2 linked regions of the Oreochromis niloticus genome follow. The protein of the gene in region 1 purifies or fractionates together with the protein of each later gene. This does not show direct contact. Links are inferred from orthologs where the notes say so. Each region holds a gene or a part of one and is shown in the gene's direction. Other genes may lie near its edges. The genes, in order: u2surp and cherp.

The links.
Region 2: the proteins of u2surp (region 1) and cherp purify together in Homo sapiens (affinity purification with mass spectrometry; 4 studies listed by BioGRID and IntAct, with this or other methods). This does not show direct contact. The link is inferred for Oreochromis niloticus from reciprocal best matches to the Homo sapiens genes U2SURP and CHERP.

The regions. Positions count from the first base shown.
Region 1 is NC_031974.2:17,222,401-17,234,142, reverse strand, and holds the start of u2surp (U2 snRNP-associated SURP motif-containing protein), read left to right. Parts: upstream 1-6,377; 5' UTR 6,378-6,470; coding exon 6,471-6,515; intron 6,516-7,302; coding exon 7,303-7,401; intron 7,402-7,509; coding exon 7,510-7,624; intron 7,625-7,768; coding exon 7,769-7,893; intron 7,894-7,972; coding exon 7,973-8,043; intron 8,044-8,183; coding exon 8,184-8,272; intron 8,273-8,414; coding exon 8,415-8,450; intron 8,451-8,560; coding exon 8,561-8,643; intron 8,644-8,816; coding exon 8,817-8,982; intron 8,983-9,089; coding exon 9,090-9,301; intron 9,302-9,658; coding exon 9,659-9,702; intron 9,703-11,330; coding exon 11,331-11,435; intron 11,436-11,532; coding exon 11,533-11,599; intron 11,600-11,707; coding exon 11,708-11,742. Other genes in the region: pcolce2b (procollagen C-endopeptidase enhancer 2b), read right to left, coding at 585-668, 1,618-1,781, 1,882-2,018, 2,841-2,965, 3,930-4,185, 4,565-4,673, 4,955-5,088.
Region 2 is NC_031981.2:23,792,815-23,804,561, reverse strand, and holds the start of cherp (calcium homeostasis endoplasmic reticulum protein), read left to right. Parts: upstream 1-6,882; 5' UTR 6,883-7,033; coding exon 7,034-7,058; intron 7,059-7,617; coding exon 7,618-7,791; intron 7,792-11,666; coding exon 11,667-11,705; intron 11,706-11,747. Other genes in the region: dohh (deoxyhypusine hydroxylase), read right to left, coding at 1-140, 2,419-2,495, 3,543-3,710, 4,278-4,383. UniProt on the Homo sapiens protein: Involved in calcium homeostasis, growth and proliferation.

The DNA.
Region 1 (11,742 bases):
ATTTTAAAATACCAGCAGTTACGAGCGCTGATTAGACCAGCTATTTTCAGCTTGTCATGTCTCGTCTCCCCGTTTCATTGAGATGCGCCGATCACGTAAAAGCGACTTTTTCTGCATTCACCGCCACATCACTCGTCTTTCCTTTTTTCCCCCTTTTCCTCGCCACAAACCGCATGTGTCAGATTGCCGAGCCTGAATAAACACCTTCATTTATTGCCACTTTGCCTACAGTCAGCGGCTGAGTATGAGTGTGTGTTTAGACTACAGGTAACCGTGCCCTACTGTATGCAGTCATTCACTTCCTGAGAGGCTATCAAGGAAGTCTTTGAGATGTGTAAGGGAAAAAAAATCACAGAGCAAAGATAGCAACATAATCAGGACTATAAACTGCTACTTAAGGGGGGTTTTGGCTGTCAGCATGGGGTCTGCTCATATATATCTTCAGAGTATCTGCAATTCAAGCTGTTTAGGATTAGTATCTGCAAAAGCAGATATGTTATATGATACAAAAATGGCTGGAATGTATCAGTGACTATGGCTTAATGTGGTTTTTGATAAGTTACAGTAAGCTTTTATGTTCTCACCAAAATCGCTGGAGCAGTAATTGCTCTCAAGCGTTCCTCGTCTTTTGCATTTCTGCCGGCACAGGGCAACAGAGTACTTCAGAGCTGCACAGAGAGAAAAAGAAACACACACAAAAAAAATCAGCCTCTGTAATTTTGCCCGCCAGTGACGTGGGCATGTAAGTTATGTTGCCATCTGCTTCTGCTGCAGCCTATTTACTGAGTATTCTTGGTAACACAAGTGTCTCTGCAGATGGATGGCTGTCAGTATCACAGACAATAGCTAGATTATGTGGCGAGGGAACGTCTGTTTTTGAAGTTAAAGATAGAAGGGAATCCATAAAGGAAAGAACTGAGGCTTGAAGAAAATACAATGTGACTGTGCAAATATTTTTCTTACTGTGGAGGGAAAAGTCGGGTGAGGGGGGGAGATAAGCCAACCAGAAAGCAGTGACACAGCTTGATATCATAGCGGGGGGGGTGCCAAAATAACCTAGCCTGAATGAGGGAAAAAAACAACAATGTGTGGGAATGCGAGTCTGACTATGAAAATGAGCTGTGATTGCAGGTGCAGACACACGCCCACCCCTTGTGTTATGTACGGTTTACACAAGAGAAAAGTCTTATGAGCATAACACATAGTTTTAGCATATGCTGTGTTACAACATGTGCTTGGCTGCATCTGTAATTGGACAACACTTTCCAGTATGTTCTATTGACTCACTGGCTGACTGCTATAATCTATTTTATGTGAGCAGAGCATTTGCTCTTATGTGAGCCACATGTGTGGGGACAGTAGCAGAATGCATGGCCACAAGCAGCACACTGTACTACTACTTAAGCACCTCGCTCTTTCCTTCTCTTGCCTACGTTTGCTATTGGAAGCAGATTTCAGATCCTTCTCAAGTTGAAAGAAGGATATAAAATCCCAGATGTTATCAAAGAATCCAGCAGCACAAAGCAAATACAGTCAAATCGGCTAATGCAGATATTAGAAGTCTATGGATGTTAGATGTTTTTTAATGGTTTCTATTGAATATAAGCTGCTACCTACGTATTGGCCTGGTGGTGACTGGCTGTGTGGTAGTTGTAGGCAGTACTGTTGTGGTGGGGAATTTCTTTGGTCTGAACTTGTAGTGCCCAATGAAGCCGTCGGCAGTCAGGCTGAGATCTGACAGGAACTGGATTAGGAGCTGATTCCCCTCCGACAACACCGGCCTGCAGAGCAGCACGGGAAAGCAGACTGAGGATGAACTGAGATGAAATCACGCGATGGTTTAGTGAAAATGAAATCTACAGCATGACAGAAATCACCTACGCTGGGGGGCTGTCTCCGCAGTATTTGCCAATCCTCTTCGCATCGTTTATTTCCGGCCCGTTGAAAATGGAGACGTGGTCGTAGCGGCAGTAGTTGTCTCGTTCCACATCGAACTTCTCGAACTTCACCTCAATAATCTGCAGCAGAAGACAAGTTACAAAGTAATCCTCTTTTTTCTAGCAAAAGCTTATAACAGGCCCTAGGGTGCACCATCTGACTAAAGTGTATGCTGTCATTTTTGAAAAGATATACTCCACCTTTTACTTACTAAGATTTCTTAAAAGAACGGCTCAGGTAACTTGTAATGTTTTATTTCAATAGAGTGTTATTCCGCCACTGGCATTGACTCATCATTGATATAGAGGGAAAACGTGCACGGAAAAAGACTAGATGAAAAACTTCTGTATCTTCATTTATTTATAAAACTTTGTTTATCTGGTACACACCATGTCAAGATATGACATGGTGTGTATTCCCCTAAAAACTCATTGGGAATCACTCTGTTGTTACAAAAATACTATTTTCTGCCTGTCAAACTGTGAGATCTTTGGCATTTTTTCATAGATTTGACTAAGGGAGTCTCTTTTTTTTTTTATATTTGAATGGTTCACAGATATGTGTTAAGTGGCATAATAAGCAAACAAACAAACAAACAAACAAAGACAGTCCCCTGAAAATGCTCAGGTACAAGGACTGGCCTGAAAATGAGTGAAAAAGCAGCCAATGTTCAAAGAAAGCCTTTGAAAACCCTCCAGAAAGCCTGAAGAAGTATTGCTAAATGCCACTTTAAAAAATTGCAAGACAGGGTGTCTCCTTGGAAGCAAAACACAAAGAAATTAGGAGTGACTCAAAACGTTTGCACAATCTCCCGGAATTTCAGCTCATTTGAGGCCAGTTATTCAGAAAGAAACATTTGCATTTACTCATTTTTTTTTAAAGTAAAAAATTAAATGTATGACCTGGTTCTTTGGTGCTACTATATGCCAGGAGCAGGTCACTCCAGCTGGGTAGTCCTTCTCAGGCCAGTTGGGTGTTTTGAAAGTCCCAGAGGGCTTAAGCAGCCTGCCTCCACAGTACTGGTCCCCTGAGGAGAAATGACTGAAGTTAGTGCTAGGATTACACAATTAATTAGCTAAATACTGCTCCTGTTATTGCTTGAATGAAATAATGAATGCTATTTAGCAATCTTTTAAAGGCTACAATGGTGAGTCAGTAATGTGCTCATGTTATTAACTGCGTCTAAGGGCTCTCACTGCCTTTTTGTCATTATGAACACCATAAAAAGCAAGTCTGTCATTAGTCATCTGTGGGTTTAAAAATAACTGCCATCAGAGGAACATCAGTTCAAAACAAACAATAACTCTCAAAGGATCACATCGCTTAAAAACACGCTTTCCCTATAACACATACTTTAACTGATTCTGCCTTTCCAGCATGTAAAAAAATACATTTAGCAAACTGAAGAAAACAAATCTTTATAAATGGGTGACATGTGATGCAGCAGAGTTTTAACCATGTTTAAAGACAGGATAGCAACAGTCTCTCTGCCAGCGTGTAAGAGCCTGGCCGACTGGTTAATTGACACTGTCCACTACAGCTGTCAGCTCCCACGGTACAGAAAACCAGACATTAAAATTCTAAAAACAGTAGATGGCCCAGTGAGGAAAAGGCTAAAGGCTCTAAGTGATATTTCTGACCTTTGCTTTGCAGCACAATAGCCAAAAAACATGAGAAATTCCACATCACAGTGCGAGAAGAGTTAAAACGCAGCGTTCTTTTTGTCCACATGGACTTTTAGCCCACAGACCTGCTCTTACTGAGCACTACACGATCGGATACATCCTGTTGCTTTACTGGTTGTCTGCATACAAACAAGGTAACATTTACTTCTTACTAGTAACATTACAGAAGCTCCACATATTTCTGCATTACATGCTTGGATAGCAGCAAGATGTTCTGCTATCCTTGCAAACTTGGCACCTTTGACTAAGACAACTGTGTTAAGAGGAAGCATGCACAAGCTTCTTCTTCTTCCCATGTTTTCTTACCTCGCTCATGTGAATGGGCAGCAGAGAAAACAGCCAGGAAGCCACTCCCAGCAGTGTTGGCATCGGATACCATCTGCAGGAGCATCTTGTTGCCTGTGGAAACAAGGGCTCCTGGCTTGAACGTCCCACAGAAGCGACCCAGTCTCTGTCCATTGACATGGCCGCTGTAGACATCCACATAATCATAGCGACACAGGTTGTCGTTCTCCAGATCAATGAAGCGGAATGACAGTACCACCACCTTCCCCTCCGGGACCTGGGTGGGGAGTTGGAGAATGTTTAGTTAAATCATTATTATTATTAAATGGCATAACAAACAAATGAGCATAGACCTTTCAGCAAATACTAAATTACTTTAATACTCTCAAACCTTTTAACCTAATTGTGCATTTTAACCCAGGTTATGCCGTTTTTCCAACCTAATCATCAGCTTCACTGCTGTAAAGTACAGAAACATCACAGAGTCACTCAGCAAAGATTGCCCTAAGCTAACTGCGGCTGTGGTTAACTATTTTTAGAAGGAAATTAGGAGTTTGGACTAAGCCAAAGATTGTCATACTGTAGGTTTCTTTTAAATGAACAATGCTTTATCACTGTCATCATATTCTATGAATGAAAAAAACAACTGGACTCACTGTGATTCTCCACACACATTTGGTATTTGGAGGGTAAACTCCTGGGTACCCCTGGCTCCCGATTACTCCGGACTCTTCTGTGATGTTTCCGCCACATGTAAAGATTGGTCTGAGGAGAAAGATATTTTCTATACATATAAATAAAAATAATAACGGTGCATTAAAGCAAAATTTAAAAACAAAGTTGATAATATCCATTGGATCCAGTGCATTCAGTTCCTCGCCAATGCGCCACATGTCCCGAGGCAGCCCATACTGCACAATATTCTTCTAACTCCAGTCATCTGACGGTGATTTTCAAAGAGCTAAATGGGATCCTTAACACTTTTTTAATCTAATAAATCTTTCAAGAAAATTTGAGTTTGGGGTAAAAAGTAAATAAAGAAGTACCTCTGCTGGGACTGCGCACAGACTTCTGTCAAGAACAGTACAGTCCATGCGCAAAAAATACTGCATGTTCTCCACATTGTTGGGAAAACGGAGCAGGAGCTTCGCCTGTTTTCGCCCCGTGGCATGAATGGCATTGTGTTCAACAGGCTAAAACGGAGGGGAAAAGTACCCAGGAGCTCCTGTAAGGAGTTTCAGCAACGGAAAACTCAAGCAAGCAGATGAATATAGCGTTTGTTCTGCGTGGTAGGAGGGACGGGGCGCAGGGTGCACATTTCTTCTTCTTTTTTTTTCTTTCTTTTTTTTTTTTTTTTCCCTCAGGGGGGGTTAAAGACGCGCTGGGAGGGGAGGGAGTGGGGTCTTGCATTAGTTTGCTTGAAAACGAAAAACCTTGACGGAGATGGCATGAATAAACTTGACTCCAGAAGTTATCTATGCATGGTTTCACATTCCGATCAACGTGTATATTTCTGACTTCAAATAACAGCATGTGCCTAAAGGTGAATGAGGCAACTTGTGTTGTGTTCGGTTCTCCACTCTTAAGTTTTTTTATTTTATATTTTATATATGTCTATAAACTGAAATACAAAATACAATTACATAAAATATGGCAGCTTGTTAGAGTTGTGCACAGCAAAGGGGTCATCTGAGGATTGAAAGAGAGCACCACCTGCTGGACAAACTATGGTGTAAGCAATTTTATTATCACTCAAATTCCAATTCAAAAATGTGCTGTTCTCTCCATCATATTATGTTGTTTATTTGATTATATAATTATTATTTCTATTTTACATGTTACCTATTTGTCCATTTGCATTTCTTGAAATGCTCAGTCCATGTCATTATTTTTAAATGTCATGGATGCTCATTTTATTTTCAGTTAATTCAAAAATTAATATTTAAATAAGAAAAAGACTAACACTAACACTAAACGTGTTTGGGACACGTTTAGTGTTTGGACACTGACCAACACCTGTTAAATGAATACACGTTCCTTCATTCTTTGTTTATTTACCCTGATATCTTAGTCTGAGTCTGCAGTTTGAGTTATACGGAACATGCATGCTGGTTATGGCATATACACACCATTCACATCGGAATTTTCAGTGGGGACAAAAACAAACAAACAAACAAACAAACAAACAAAAAGGATAGAGTGAGATTGAAGTCACTTAGAGCAGCAAATACATTTTCTATTGAAAAAAGAAAAAAAAACAACAGAAAAAAATGAGAGTTAGAGCTGCCTGTCGACCTAGTTAATTTTTCTCTTTCAAAGTATTTCGGTGCCAATTCATTATCTCTGTTGATCGGTGTAATAGATCGGGTATTAATTTTATTAATTTATACATATTTATAGTTTTAATACATGGTAGCATTTTGAATCCTGGTGTCGCGCTTGAGAAACTGAAAGAAGAGAGGAGAGAAGCATCGGTGATTCTGTGATTGATTGCGACGCCTGGAGTTTCATAGTTGCCACTATCATCAGCTCGGCGATCGATTCATTTCAGTTCCACAAAAGATGGCGGACCGAACGCCTGGTGGCTCTCAGAAAGCTAGCGCTAAGGTAAACTTATAGTTTGTAGTTGTTTTAGCTCATTTGCACCTGTTGTAATGGGAACTGTGCGAATAATCTTGTGCTTGAACAGCACCAACTGTTTGCTGTAAAAGACCACAACAGGGAGTGTGCGCAACAGTGTCTGCTAACACTGCCGCGCTACAGCTAACTGAGGCGCCGCAGCCACACTGGCTGGTTTTAGCTAAGCTAAGCTAATGTGTTGGCGACCATAAACTGGATTAATGGAAGCAGTTATCACAGGAATAAACTTGTTCGCAAATCACAAGCTTTACACATTCATTGTCTTCAGGATGACGTACAGTGGTTGTATATTTCAGTGTGGAAATAGTAAATTAAGCATTTGGGAGCTGGGGCCTAACCGTCATTCGCCGTTTAGCGTAATGCATTCAGTCCGTGGCGCTGCACCAAAAGGCGACTTCTTAGGCCTCCTGTTAATTTAGCTAATTTCTTAATCTTTCCTGGTCTCCAGCTGCAGCTTGGTCGTAAATGTGTAATGTATTATACTTAAATAATTAGTGTTAAATGTCTGAGTAACGGTTGCAGGCGCCCATTTAATACAGCCGACTTTATAAACCAGCGGCTACAGACCGCGCTGAAGTTACCTGTTTACGTGATAATTGATAGGCATATTAAATAATAATAATAATAATAATGATAGCAGGACTCAACATTACTTGAACAAGTCGTGGTTGTTTACCATCCAGTTATTAAATAGTCGTAATGTGTGCTTATTAAATACCTGGTGAAAACAACCATACTTTGTTGACATGTACAGGCGCTGCTTGAGAGCAAACTGAAGTCTTTCAGCATTGGCAAGATGGCAGTGGCAAAGAGAACCCTCAGCAAAAAGGAACAAGATGAAATAAAGAAAAAAGTAAGTATGGATTATCTTTTTGGACAGTTTTCTCTGCATGAATAATAGCTGTCAGAGATTTATATGATTTATTTACTTTGACACCTTTGTGTGCCTGTGTGTATTCAGGAAGATGAACGAGCGGCAGCTGAAATTTATGAGGAGTTTCTTGCTGCTTTTGAAGGAGGAGGGGAGGGAAAAGTCAAAGCTTTTGTCCGTGGTGGCATTGCAAATGCAACGAAAGGTATACGTTTTGCATTATATATTTCTGAAACTGATTGCAAAATATGCAAATGTTAAAGAACAGCTCACCAAACCTTTTGACTTCGGAAACTGAAATGGTAATGTGATTGGAGGGCGAAAACTAAAAGATTTTTTCTCCTTGCAGAGGAAGCAGCTGCTGATGACAAGAGAGGAAAGTTGTACAAGCCCAAGTCACGTTTTGAGAACCAACCAAAAAGCATCCTGCCTTTGGAAACCCCACCACAATTTTTAGCATTAGACAAACGGCATGTAAGTACTGTTTCTGAGAATGAGAACATCTTGTCTAACTTTTGCATTGAATAACACTTACCTGGTTTTCTCATTGTAGGGCTTAAAGAAGAGCAGTGAAAAGGAAAAGAAGAAGAGTAATTTGGAGCTCTTCAAAGAAGAACTTAAACAGTAAGTTTTAACACAGAAAGGTGTTAAAAGATTTTAGTGGTGGATATTAGATGTTCCTAAGACTTGTGGTGTGGTTATTAAAGTTGTAATATATTAAACACAGATTATAATCAGCTGTGATATGTGTCTGTGTCTTGTAGAATACAGGAAGAGAGAGATGAAAGACACAAGATGAAAGGACGTGTTAGTCGCTTCGAACCGCTATCCGGGACAGATGGAAGACGCTCCTGTAAGTGTTTTTAAGTCACATGACTGCCTTACGTGCACTAACTTGGCCTGACAGGGCCCTTTCCTGCCTTACGCCACCCTCTGTCCCTTTGTCCACATCTACCCCTGAAACAAAATTTATACTGCTTTTCTGCTTCTTTTAGCGGATGGTTCTTCACGAAGAAACCGTCCGTCCAGTGGTAATTTTGACTTAATATAGTGACCGTGAATACCTTCATCTTGCTAAGAAAATAATGTTGGACCTGTCAGACAGCAGCAGGAAATTCTTTTCTCTTCTCTGTGTCTGCAGTTTTGGATGACTGTGCACCAGGTTCCCATGACGTTGGAGATCCATCCACTACTAACTTGTACCTTGGAAACATCAATCCACAGGTTTGTATCTCCACATGCATGAAGTGGAAGTAATGTAAAGCATGCCATAAAAGGAGGGGCTTGAGCATGTTGCTATTCCTTAGAAATTTGCTAAATATGCCCTTAATTCCAAGTGGGAAATATTTATGCAATGTCTGTGTTTCTCAATTTGTATCACTCTTATTACTTCATAGATGAACGAAGAGATGCTGTGCCAAGAGTTTGGCCGGTATGGCCCACTGGCAAGTGTGAAAATCATGTGGCCGAGGACAGATGAGGAAAGGGCTCGGGAGAGGAACTGTGGCTTTGTGGCTTTCATGAACAGGAGGGATGCAGAGCGAGCACTCAAAAACCTAAATGGTACAAATCTCCAATTCTTTTATTAAGTTGATATATTACATCCTTTTATCTTCTTTCCAGTTCACATGTGCGTGGTAAAATTAAATGCACATTTACTCCCATAACAGGAAAGATGATAATGAACTTTGAGATGAAATTAGGATGGGGAAAAGGTGTGCCCATTCCCCCCCATCCCATCTATATCCCTCCTTCTATGATGGAGCATACACTCCCCCCGCCTCCCTCTGGCCTCCCATTCAACGCACAGCCCCGAGAGAGGCTAAAGAACCCCAATGCTCCTCTGCTTCCTCCACCTAAAAACAAGGAGGAGTTCGACAAGGTAATTCAATACGTCAGCCTAGGATTTTCTCATGGGATATGGCAATGTTTTGTTAATTGTGGTGGTAAGATGTTAGTCATAATAAGCAGTCAGTACAGGATTTAGATTTTGAATTAGTTGTTGTGTGTAAGAAAGTGTCATTATCAAATGTCAATGTGTGCAAAATGCTCAGTGTTACAAAGAGGTGTTACTATGGTAAAGTATCAGGGTTGTTTGGCCACTAGTAAAACTGACAGCAGGAAAGGAAAGTTATTGTCTTTTTGCACTTTTTAAATGCATTTTTTATATTTTTCACCTGTTGCCTTTGTAACAATACTCACATTCTATGTTTATTATCTGATGTGACTTCATATACAGACTCTGTCGCAAGCCATAGTCAAAGTGGTTATCCCAACAGAAAGGTACATGTTTTTCTTTTTTTTTTTAAATTGGTGTACAAACTTAGAAAAAAAAAAAAACATCCCATAATGAAACTAAAAAGTTTGATCATTTGATCACTGCATGCTACAGGGGGCTGGTCAGTGTGGATGAGCAATGGTTGAGGCAGCTGCACGGCGTCTTCATACTAGTACCTAGAATAATACAGACTGAAGTTTGTTTCACATCCCTCCATCATTCATATTTTCTTTACATGTGTAGCCAAACATCATTATAGATCTTAATAACTATGCTGTTTAGAGAAAAAGATCATTACTTTCACAGTACCACTCCATACATAGACATTAAATCGTGTTTCTCAACTTTAGTGATGTTGTACTCTGCTACATACATGATCTGCTGATTCTAGATCCGTAGTTGTGAAAACCTGTTCTCTGACCATTGCTCACTCAGACCGTCTCCCCCCTTGGCCTCTGTCACTATGAGGAGCTCAGTAAATTTAGCTCCTGCTGACAAATCCAAACCTGCCATCATTAGTCTATATATGACCTTTGACATTGGCCTTGGTGAGCAGCACAAGTTGAACTGTCTGCAGCAGCGAGGGACCTGAAAAGCATCATGGGATGGATTGGGAAAGTATACAGAATTTTACCCCGTCATTGGTACGATCGGCTCCAATACAAGTAAATGTGATTTGTGTTGTCAAATGAAAGACATCCTTTGTCTTGTTGGCCACTTTAGGCTAATTGTATGCAGCCTGCACAATTTATTTCCTCTACAAATTATCACAGAAGAACTTCTAACGATCCCATTTGCACAGTTTTAAGTCGGTACCAACTCCACTAGTAGATAACCCGTTTTAGGCCAAAGATCATGTACTGCTTTTTCACGTTACATTAGAAGGAAAGAGTGGGAATTGAAAGGCACTGTACTGACAAATATTCCTGTTAGTACGGCGTCTTGTCAATGTCTCGCTCCTGTTGTTCCCAATTTCACTCATCCCCACATTGTGAAATTTGAACTTAGAGATATTTTATATGAAGGTTCCGAGCAGTGCAATGTAATTAAAAGCTGTTGCACTGTAGCCTCAAAGAACACAGGCATGACCTTTGTAGACGTAATAAAAAAAAGCTTTTCTTTTCCTTTTTTTTTTTTGTTGTTTTTTTTAATTGACATGAATGTCGTACTGTCACAAAATGTTTTTATATACATATTTTTTATTTTTATTTTTTGCGTGTATTCATTGATGTTATATGTAGGCCCAGAGGTGTAGCCACAGTGATGGTTAATTTATTCCTGGTCATGTGACGCACTCTGACAGTCATCTGTTGTCTCATATTCCCCGTCATTTAAACCGTCGCCATAGTAAATAATAAATGGGTATTGTGGTAAGATTTTAGAATGATTTAGGCATCATTCTGTGCCAAGTATATAATATCACAGTAGAAGTTTACTATTCAGGTATAGCTCAATACAGCTGCATTTATGGCTTGCAGCATTTCTTTGTGTGACATAAATTGTCTTTGCCTAGTCAGCCTGTTGAGTGTGTCAGACCACCAAGAATAAATTAATCTTTAATTGGGAGGTTTTAGTAGTGTTCAAGAGTCCGTCCAGTCTGAATCCGTTTGCTTTAACTGTGTTTTTCTTGTAGGAATTTGCTCTCTCTCATCCATCGAATGATCGAGTTTGTGGTGCGTGAAGGACCAATGTTTGAAGCCATGATCATGAACAGAGAGATCAACAATCCCATGTACAGGTGAGCTTAGCTGCACAATAGAAATGTAGTGTTATTCTGTTAGCTAAAATTCTTTATGTGCTGAGTTATAAAGGTTGTGTATGTCTTTTTATGACAGGTTTTTATTTGAGAACCAGAGCCCAGCACATGTATACTACCGATGGAAGCTGTACTCCATACTGCAGGTTAGTTTTCTATCTTGAAAAAAGTTGCCAAATTTCAGGGGGAACTAGCCATTCCACTGAGTTTCTTCTTTTTATCAATGTGTTCACTGTGATTTATTACTTCCTCAGGGTGAATCACCAGCCAAATGGCGAACAGATGACTT
Region 2 (11,747 bases), on another chromosome or scaffold:
ACGCTCTTCCTTGCCGCTGGAGGGGCTGGGTCTACAGAGCAGTAGGGGTTTTTATCTGTGTGTCCGTCCTGCAACGTTTTCTCTCCTCCACTCTGAAGCCATTCTAGCCGTTGAACAGCCAATTGACATGTCTCTGCAACCTGTACAGATTGAATGTCAGCTTTTATGTCATTTTCTGTATCAACTGAGTGTTAATAATTGAGAGTGCAAGCTGCAATTTTAGTTGTGGTTCCAAGTATCAAGAGTAATTGAAATTATCACCAAATGTAAACCTCAAAGAATAATAAATGACATTTGTTCATAAATAAAAATATGTCCAATTATGAAGTTAAAACACTGGAATACTGAGGCAAATGAGATTATATACTGGGAAAGTCAGTGGTTCGGTCCAGGCTCTTCCCCTGGCAGGAAAAAAAAAAGCCCTCTATGAGATCATAGGTGTGAGTTAACTGTCAAGTGTGTGACTGTGTTAAATAAAGCAGTTGTATGCTGTATGAAGCATGATAAATGACATATCAGACTTGAATTCTTCCAAAAGTCGAAGTCATATTTATCTTGTCTCTGCTTAGTGTCTCTTAAAGTTCCTCTGACTTACATATTTAATGTTTCTGACAAACAATAAAACAACATGAGATGATGAGTATATGGGGACTATTACGACTGCATTTTAACCAGTCAATTTCAAACTGCTGCTCTGCTCACATTCAGGTTTTTATGACCGTAACATGGTGTGTATACCCTCTGAAAATTAGCAAGATCTTGTTACCACTCACTTAGAACTCGCCAAAGCAAATGGTGGAGAGTCCCAGGTATTTAAACCCTAGTGGGGGTTGTGCCTTAATGGGTCGATTATGCTCACCATGTCTCACACTGATTTTTGTTGTGACACAATCTTTGTGGTGTGTCTGCTGGTTGTGCACCTCTCGATTTTTGTAACCTGGCACACTGTGCTGCAGCCACCACAAGGAAGTTTTTCCTTCCCACTGTCGCCAGAGTGCTTGCTCATAGGGGGTGATATGATTGTTGGGGTTTTAAATTGAATTGATTAGACAGCAGATCAGACATATGCAGGGAGTTTATAGATACACCAAGAGTAAAAACCAGATCCAGTGTGTTCCAGTAACACACTACCCTAAATTAGATGACTTAACAGTGTTTTTTTTTTTTTTTATTAGTCCTTTATTTATTCAGGTAAAAATCTCATTGAGATTTAAAATCTCATTTCCAAGAGAGACCTGGCTACACTGGTATTGTGAAATTTTGCCTAGTAGCAATGGTAACGAAAACAGCTGTCTCTGTAATAGAGTGGGAGTGAACAGAAATCCCACAAGAGTGAAGGGTTAGTTCAGTGCCTGTGGACAGATTATGTGAATCCCAGTGGTTTCGGTGAAGGCAATTTCGCTTGAAAAAGTTCAGAGCAGTTGAGGAATGACAGGTTGTAGTACAACAAAGGGAATTTCTTTAATAATGCATTAGTTCTTGAACCAGATGTGCCATTGAACTCTGAACAGCTGAACTTTACATTACTAAATAAAAGGGGGTACAACAGCAGGTCACTGCTTTCCAGTGGCTGCCCACGAGGTGTATAAAGCCTTACTTGAGGTTCTCTGACGATATATTAAGTCATTAGTGCCAAGACAGACAACTATTGCAGAGACTTTGTGGTCTTAATGTCCTTCATGTGGGCACCGCCATGTGTCAGACCATAGAGTAGCCAACAACAAGCACCAGAATTAAAAGAAGACTCAAGGTGGTGGCAGATGGTGAGCAGTTAGGGGGCACAGTAGCATGTCATCAATCAGATCCAGCAGTGGGAGCAGCAACAGCAGCAGAAATAGAGGTGGCAGTGGCAGCAGCATTGCCCAACCAAGACAAGCGCTGATCCCCAACTTACAAGAGGGAGTCTTGGAACATCTTGTCATCTTGTAACACTGAGTATACCAGCAGACAATGTCCACACACATGCATAGTCTGAGAGCAGCAAGCAGTTAGTAAACAGGCTAAATAAATAAATATAATAATAATATTTTAAAAAGGCTAGCAAGGAAACCACGCTTCAGGGATGGGTTGGAATGCAGTGGTGACACTATAGAGTTGAAGATGTCAAAGTAGAGGGTATAGTTTCTGCACCACCCAAGATTTAATAAACTTAGTAAAAGTTTTTAGGAAAAACTTTAAAAGGCAGCAGGAAACATCGAGAGCAGCCTGGAAGATGGCGGTTCAGAAGTGATGTGACAATAAAGGCATGATAACAACCAGTCAATTCAAATACAACAGTCAAAATTGTTTTTCAGTTACCTTCAAAATTAATTAATATCCTGTTAAATTAGTCCAAGCCTAAATTGTAGGTCTGTTCTGTAGCAGGTAAAATGAAAATCTAGTTGTAAGTTTTAGGCAGATTTTGTGATATGCTCTTACCTCAATGACAGGATCCTGACTGTACTCTTTCAGTAGGTCCAGAACCGCAGAATCACCAATTGCCCCCAGAGCTTCCCCTACAAGCACACAGAGATAGCAGTCAGACTTCAAAACTGCACCGCTGTTTCCAGCTTTCATTTGTTTTTGCATCCTGCAAACTGCAAGTCTCAAAATATTTTCTGAAAAGCTTCCATCGTGCTTGCGCCAGGAAAGTATAGTGAGTTTGCATACACATGTATGTAAACTTATACTTTTCTACACAAATTTATGTTTAGCAGAAAGAGAGTGGTTAAATATTAGCTCACTAACAGTCCCTCATGCCAAATACACATTCTCAGTTTCTTTCAGTTCAATGTGACCTTCTTTAGGGACAATTCTGGCAAAGTGTAGCCTTTTCGCAAGGCACCTAGTGCTCCTTACAAAGACCACTAAAGCATCTTAATGTGGGGGCAGTATATTTGGCTACTCATTTTGGTTTTTGTTGTTTTGGCAGTCCATGCTATCATACAGATGCCGTGATTGGTACTCCAGTGGATTGAATTCCAGCTCCACTGTCTGCATCAATGGTCCTTGTGGTGCTCTAGAGACCAGAGCGAGCTAGGGAGAGGATTGCATCCCTCAAACCAGAACCTGCAGTACATGAAACTGGTCTACATGTCACTACTCCATCTCCACAAGGCTGCAGTGCAAAAAAAAAAAAAGACTTTGTAACCAGCCCAAAATGGCAAAGCTTCAGACTCATTTGACAAGCAGCTGCTTATACTGCTTTTTGTCACAAAGTACTTAGCAAAGGTAAGATTTGTGGAGGAGCAACTAAATTATTTAATTGTTTAATTATACCACCTTACCTAAATGACCGTTAAGAAAAAAAATTGATGACAAGGGAGTAGTTCATTTTCTACTACTCTAGGTATTTTACACAGTGCACGTGTGTCTGTATTGCATGTGTGTTGTAAAAATACAAAAAGCAGATTAATTGGGAACTTCTGTATTTAGTGCAGCAACAAATGAACACCTGGACACGCACCATCTGTGCAGAGCACAGAGCTTACATAAAACATACTGTGTCAAAATACTTGTGTTTGGTAGTACACCGACTCCTCATCCCCATCAAGCACGCTTACCTGCTTCATGCCTAACCATTGGCTCCTGCTGTTTATCTTTGAGAACAGCAGTCAAAGTAGGAATGGCCCGTTTGTCCTGCATCTGTCCCAGGCAGTAAGCCAACTCATGCTTCAGCAGGGCTGATTCATCAGCGAAGGCTTTGCTGATCCATTCTATAGCTTCAGCACCTGACACACACAGATGACAGCTTGAATTAGTTCACCCAAAAGTCACTACCGGCATTCAGTCACACCAAATATATTGCAACAATATGCAACAGCTGTGCTGTGATTTCAGTTTGCATTAAAAAAAAGATCTTTCAGAGAAAAAGAAACAACTGAATGTCTTGTCTTTCAGACAGTACAGTGCTGCTTTCTGTGATTAAGCCAACCATACGAAGAGGAAAAGACTGGTGGCTGCAAGCGCGAGGGCAAGACGTTATTGCAAAGTTTAGAGATTTAAAGATTACTTTTTTTCCTGTGAGTTTTGTTGGAAAACATAGGGGCTACTAAAATATGCTGAAAGGACAGAAACAACCACAACTACATTTGAAAAAAAAAAAAAAGAAGAAGAAGAAACTGAATGTGTGGGGTGATTCCCACCCCTACAAACCAATGTTGGAGTCCTACATACTACTGCAAATCTTGAGCACTGGGCACATGGACTGCCGCTATTTTGTTACTTAGCTGAGTGCTTTTGTCATTTGTCCAGTTTTTGAAAATAAAAAATAAAACTATGTGGTCCTGGTGTTTTACCTCCCAGGTTCCTCAGGGTAAATAAAGCTCTGAACCGCTTGGTCAGGTCCTGTCTCGGGTCCACCAGCTCCTGTCCTATTGATCCAATCTTCTCGACAGTAGCCATGCTGCTGGAAAGAGAGCAAGACACTTATGAATCTTGGACCTGTAAACTTAGAGCAACGTGAAAGCTTTTTTTTCCTCACTCATAGTTTAGTGGAGAAAATTATATATATTCAAGTCTTAATTTATCTTATTTATACTAAAAATCTATAACTGCTAGGTGAAAACAAAACGTTTATATCAGGGGTCCCCAATCCCAGTCCACGGGGGCCGGTGTCCTGCAGGTTTTAGATGCGTCCTTGATCCATCACAGCTGATTTAAATGGATAAATTACCTTCTCAACCCCTGGTTTATATAGACTATAACCGAGCCATATGAGGATTTTGACTAAATACCTGGAGTCCAGGCCAATATTAAAACCAGCTACGGAGGGTATAGTATTTAGATGTAGTTTCTGTCGACGGCCTGCAGCTAGCTCTGTACTTTACATGATGTATTATTGATCTTTTTCACGCTTCTCTCCTTCCTGGTGAACACCGCTGTCACTTCACTACATTCCGGTGTCTTGCGCCTGCGTCGGGAGCACGCGCTGAGCACACCGGCTTCCACAAATAAACCATCGCCTATCATTGGCTGAACTCTTTCACAACAACATCACACGGTATCCACTAACGCCACCACACAACGGCGCCCAGTGTAAACGTTGTCTAAACGTACCAAGCTTCAGTATGTACAGTATTTCACACACCTCCGTCACGGTCCCCACAGCACAATCCACGGACAGTCGCAGGAAGTTGTTGTGTCCTTCTTCTTTTTGTTATTTGTGCAGGTGGTTGGAAAACTACGAAATTGTGTTTTGCCGCCACCAACTGGTATGGAGTGTAGACTGAAATGTGGCTCAAAAAACAAAAAAAACAGGGCTATTTATGAACATAAACCACACACCTTTAAAATATTTGGAATGGAGGTAGCAATAGAAAAAAAATCAAATAATGTTATGTGTAACTTTTTTCTTTAGTTGGACAGATAAAATAAAAAAGAAACTCATGCTATACAAGTGCAGCACAATTTACAGACAGTTGTACTGTGTATTACTACTGTGCTGACTGAGAGGTGATGTCCTTCAAGTAAAAAAGAGTGCTTCTTCACCTCAGTGTTCTAGTGGGGGTTATTGGGGGGCTATTTTCCTTGAAAATTTCACCTGATAGTCAAGGAATTTAAATAAAATAGAGTAAATTTATAATTAGTCAGTTTGCTGATAAAATGCCTTTGTTGTTGTATTTTTCATTTTTTTTGTAAAAGAACTTGTGATCTCTAAAGGAACAAAATTAATTTTTCTCAAAAGCATCTGGTCTGATTGTAAATGTTCTGATATGTCAGATTTTAGCAATTTGCAATCTTGATTTAAATTTTTACATCGCGGTAAAACGAGAGGTGAAATACTTTAATAAAGTATAAAGTATATCATAATAATAAAATGATCTGTTGTTGAAAGGAACATTTGAATACCACTCCTAAATTTCTTATTAAAGCGATTTGAAATTGAGGTTGACTCATGTAATTTTTGTACTTCTGAATGTGAAACTGGTGATCATTTCTATTTTAAATTCTCCTCATGTGAGTTTATTTTGGTCAGACATTTACAGTTGACTTTATCTGAAAATAGTCAACATTTCCATGCTTACTTATTGTTTCTTTTGGGGTTGAACAACAAAATTTCTGATACTGTTAATCTAATTATTATTCTGGGTAAATACCATTTTAATTCTTAAAATCATCAATTAATGTAATCTGACTAACTGCATGTCTTTGGACTGTGGGGGGAAGCTGGAGAACCAGAGGAGAATATTCAAACTCCACACAGAAAGGCCCTAGCCAGATTGTGGATGTGAACCCAGGACCTTTTTGCTGTGACACAATAGTGCTAAACACTGTGTTGCTAAGCTCAAAATATGTATATGTAGATCCTTGCTCCTTTGACCCATCGAGCCTTGCTTTTATAAACCCCTTTTGTTTGTTCATTTTTTCTGGTGTTCTGTTTTTCTTTTCCCTTTTTTAATTTCTGCCATTTGGGCATTGGACCTTAGATGGTTAGGAAAAACTGTTGACTGATGCTTTTGAACCCCGTCTTTTGCTGATCATACAACAAACAAACAAAAAGATAGCTCTGCACTGCCAAGTGGGTCATTTGAAATGACCAACTGGATAGCACAGCATTCCCATTGGACTGGGTGCTGGATCCAGCTGGATAAGTGTCTTGTTTGGTCTATCTGTCCAAAAGGTTTGCCTCCTATATTGACCAGGAAGAGAAACTACGGGGTTTCAACCATGTTTTCTAGGATAGGATTTTGTAAGCATATATAATAAAGATCAGGACTAAAGATATTTTAAAATGTTGTATTTTTTTAATATATATTTTACTTATAGTTAAATAAAAATATTTTCATTTTTGGACGTTTACTCGCCGCTGCAACCATCAATCCACCCAAACGAGCAAGGCGCGAACACTCCTCCCAGTCGCAAGGGGCGCTGGAGACAATTCCATAGCCATCTTTTGTGGCGCTGTTTCTGTATCGCATTTCCTGTGCGTAGCAGCGGCAATGCAAGTGATTTTGGGGGAATTTGATATATCTTTTTCTGAAAAAGTAAAGAATTTGGCGGAGTTTTTACATACATATTCTGGCTAAGTGGTTCGCTGGAACAGAAATTAAACATGGATATCCCCAGTCCTCCCGAAGGTGAGCCGTACACCACAGCTATTTTAAATTTCGATTCAACGTAAGCGAGCACCCATGCTATCTGCTACATAGCTAACAAAACCATTGGATTTAGCATGTTGATTAAGGTCACCGATCAGAAGTGGATGAATGTTTAACCGGGCTCTGTGTGTAATCATTGCACCAACTAACGTGAAAAATGGTGTAGAAATAATCCAGTAATAGAGAGTAAACGTTAGTTGTTCTAACTTTTCACGGCTGCTGGCTTTTAAGAAAAAGAACCCCCATAGAAAGAAGATCCCTTATAGATATTTTTGTGCTACAGCAGCACGATTAAGAGTAAAATTAAAGCCAACTGATTTAATAATACTATGTAGGAATATAGAAATAATTCATGCTTACGCAACCTCATTTCTAGATATTTCTGTTTCAGAAGAAATTCATTATTTTCTAAATCTGTTTTATTTGATTTTTTTAAAAGAACTTCAGTCACTATTATTTCTGTCTATTTCAGTGTCTCTGTTCTGTGGTTTTTACAACAACATTTTTCACTGTATTTATGTCTGTTTTTTTTGTACAGATCAGGAGCTTCGAAATGTGATTGATAAGCTGGCCCAGTTTGTTGCCCGAAATGGCCCAGAGTTTGAGAAGATGACGATGGAAAAACAGAAGGACAACCATAAGTTCTCCTTCCTTTTTGGGGGCGAATACTTCAGCTACTACAAGTACAAACTTGCTATGGAACAACAGCAACGTATGTAGTTAAACTGACACATCACAATAAAAACAGAATTTTCACATAGAGGTCAATTTAGTATTGGAATATTAAGTTCATTTGATGTTCAGTACTTTGGATTTCTTACTATAATAGAAATATTCAAACTAAAAAAAATGTAATAAAAAACAGTTTTTACAGATAAAAGCGGAAAAAAACCCCCAACCCAGTACATGCACCAGATATGTTGGCAGAATTATTTACTTTTCTGTTTTGGGGTGAAACTGTTAATTGAACAGTCCAGCATTGTATTGGTAATGTGAATCTGTTTTTGGCATGGATTTTTTTCCTTTTGATTAAAGGCTTTCAGACTGCCTTTATATCATCACCTGGCAGCAGTAGTCCTTCTGCTCGCAGCCTTCGTCAGCTGCAGAGTCAGTTCTCTAGCTCACAGAAAATCTCCCCAAAAGCAGAACAAGGATATCAGTCAGTAAATGCACTAAAGACAGTGGACTTGGAATCTCACTACAGGATAAAAGGTGTCCAAATGACACTTTGGTCTGGCTTAATAGCAACCGGGCAAATCTGTGGAAGGAACTGTTGCAGCTAAATTTGAAAATACAAATCTTTAAATTTAGAATCTCTTCAATAATCAAAGACACGTTGGTGGTGTCCAAAGAATCATTTTCATATCCGACATTTGGGTAGGAGGATTAGCAGATGAAGCACTGTTTTGTAGTATCTTACAGTGCGCTGTCTACACATACAGTTTTTCCGGCAGTCTTCAAGGAGACATCAGTGAATTATAATGTAAATAGCTAAGTGGGCATTGTAGCAAGTTTGCCACTACAGGAACCCCTCTATATGTACCTTGCATACAGTTTCTTTGTTCGGTGTTTCTCTCTTTATTTACGCACATACAACGAGTTTCAAAATTCTGTCACTCTCCATGCTTTTAGGAGGTTGAGGTGGTATACTTGTGTGGCACCAATCCTGTGTCCACCCCACTTCACAATCTATGTCCCCCACTCGCCACATGGCCATAAAGGGTCCTTGCTAGTTGGCGAGTAATTTTGAATTGCAAATGGGAAGAAATACGTGTATTTTACCTCCCAGTTTGAGCTGTCTGAGTCTAGTGCCTCTGTTGTACAGGTGCTGCTAACATTCCTTTTATCACTCAGCCGTAAAAGGCTGATGGGGTTTCTTGTCACCCTGTTAAGGTCAGAGGTCAAATCTTCTGAAAATCTTGTGAATGCGATACCGCAAGAGGGAAGTCACCTAGGATTTTCAAATTGATACCACAGGTGCATCTAGTAAAAATGAATGCCATAACTTGAGAACAAGATGACATAGGATTTTGAAACTGATACCACAGGTATGTCTGTTAGAACTGATTCAAGTTTGGTGTTTTTGTTATTGTTGTGTAGGACAACAAAATAACAACATTTTGGCAACCCCTGAACATGCAAAATATTCAAAAAAATGTGCAAAATGGCAAATATTTAAAAGTACACATGAAGAATAAAAAAATAAATAGAATAAAAGAATACAAAATACGTACAAGGTCATAAAACGTATGTGCAAAGATAAGAACATTATGAAAATTTAGTAATGACTTTACAAGTTGTATGTGCAAGTTTCACAGTATAGCAAATGTAGTGCTATTACACAGAAGTTGTAATAGGAAGGCTAGCAATCATGTGTGGACTGTGTGTATGTGTGTAGCAGCATTTGAGTATAGTTGATGTACATAGGATCAAGTTCTGTTCTTCTTGACTGTCTGAAATCCACCACAATCTCCTTGGCTTTGCTGCTGTGTAGTATGAGTTTGTTGATGGGGCACCAGGCGATTAGGCTCTACACTTTTTCTCTATCTGCAGTCTTGTTGTTAATGGAGATCAGGCCAGTGACTGTGTGTCGTCCGCAAACTTGATGATGGTGTTTGTTGTGTTTGAAGGTTGACAGTCATGGTTGAACAGGTCTTACAGAACAGGGCTCAGCTCACATCCCTTTGGTACATTGAGGATGGAGGATGCGCGTTTGCCCATCCTGACAGTCTGGGGATAGTTGGTTAAGAAATACAGGGTCCACCTAAAGATGGTCGGGCTGAGACGGTTTGGGAGTTTGGACACCAGTTTGCGGGGACACCGGTATTAAAAGCAGAACTGAAGTCCAGGAAGAGCATTCTACAGTACCTGCCTGGTTTGTTGAAGTGCTCTAAGGTGGTATAGAGTGTAAGGCTGATGGCTTCCTCTGTTGACTCTGGTCCAGAGTGGCTGTGATCACTTAATGTGAGCCACAATCAGTCTTTCAAAGCATTTTGCTATCATCAGGTTAAGTGTAATTGAATGATAGTCATTTAGGCTGCTCTTAGTTCTTTGTTTTGGAATGGGCACAATGGTTGTAGTTTTGAGGCATGTTGGTGCACTCCCAGAAATCGAAGAGAGGTTAAAGATGTTTGTGAAAACCTCTGCAAGGTGGTCAGTGCAGGTCTGCAGAACACACTCCAGAACACCATCAGGTTCTGTAGCCTTTCTGGGTTTAATTCTGTGCAATAACACTCCTAATGTCATTTCTTTCCAAGACAGTTCAGGCTGGGCTGGTAGGGGATGGAGGTCGATTTCGCTTGCATCATTGTACCTGCTGAAATGGGCAAAAACGATGCTTCAGTCAGGGAAGGATTACTGCTTACTTTGAGGGTTTTTCTTTGATAGTCTGTCAAATGTTGTGTGGCTTGCCACATATTATCTGAGTTGTTTTTGTTGAAACTGTCCTGAATCTGTAATTGTTCTTTGAAGGCTCAGTGCTGTGTTTGAGATTTGCTTTTGCTAGGCTATAAGATGCCACATCCTGGGCTTTGTAAGCAACATCCCTGATTTTAAGCAGCTCTCTGGCCTCTTTATTGACCCAGGGTTTCTGTTTTCAGAACACTTTGATTAGTTTCAATGTGATGACCAGGGCAGTGCAGAAGTTGATGTAGGATAGAACAAATAATTTGTACACTTCTAAGTGTATTCCAGTCTGTTTATTCAAAGCAATCTTGAAGTAGACAAGGTCTTAATCATTCTGTTGGTTGGTTTAGTTCTGCAAATGAGGGGTTTGTAGGTCAGTACCATTAGCAAGGAGAGATGATCAGAGTATAGTTGATGTACTATACATCAACTATACACTGACCACCCGGGGTCTCCTGAGAAGGCTCTGCAGGATCAGTGTTGGACAGAACCCAGGTGACTCTGTCTGTCATGAGCACACCCTCCCAACATTGTCCTACCAGTTTATTAAACCTCAGCCAGTCCGTCCCTAAGAATCAAGGGTTGCACAAGGCAGGCTGTTTGTAAACTGGAAGCAGCGCCCATAACTGCTGCGACGTGAAGAAAAAGAGCAGGGACAAAGCTTCTTCCTCAGAGCAGGGACTGGAAGGCTTCCAGCCGGTTACATACTTTTATTTATATTTTAAAATCTAATAAGAAATATCACTGAAATATTACTTTTCAAAAGAAGTCAAAATAGTAATTGTACTAACTATGCACAAATTAAATCTTTAGTTTACTTAAAAAGCTGTAAAAATATATGAAACTTCCCACATGCAGCTTCAGCAATGCTGCTTTAGAGAACCTTCTCATATTCTTCCGTGAGGAGCAATCCAGTCACGTCCTTATTGTGAGGACAGCAGTTCTTTGAGCAAAATGGAAATATTTTCTTGGTATAGATACGGATCTTTACAAAGAAGTGAACTTAATATGAGAGTAAATTACATTATTTACTGTGCTACAGTTGGCTTTGATTACTTAAGCATAGTCACCTAATCAGCAGCCTGATACTAAAAGCAGAGTGTTGTGCAGTTTTGCATGGTGTTCTTCTGTCAGTTGTGTGATACCACTGAAATGCATTAAAGTTTGCCTTTCTCCACTTAGATCCCTCTACCCACGATGGGGAGGAGTATAAATCTAAAGGTATTTATTTAAAATCAAAATTTTCAGATAAATTTCAAAATT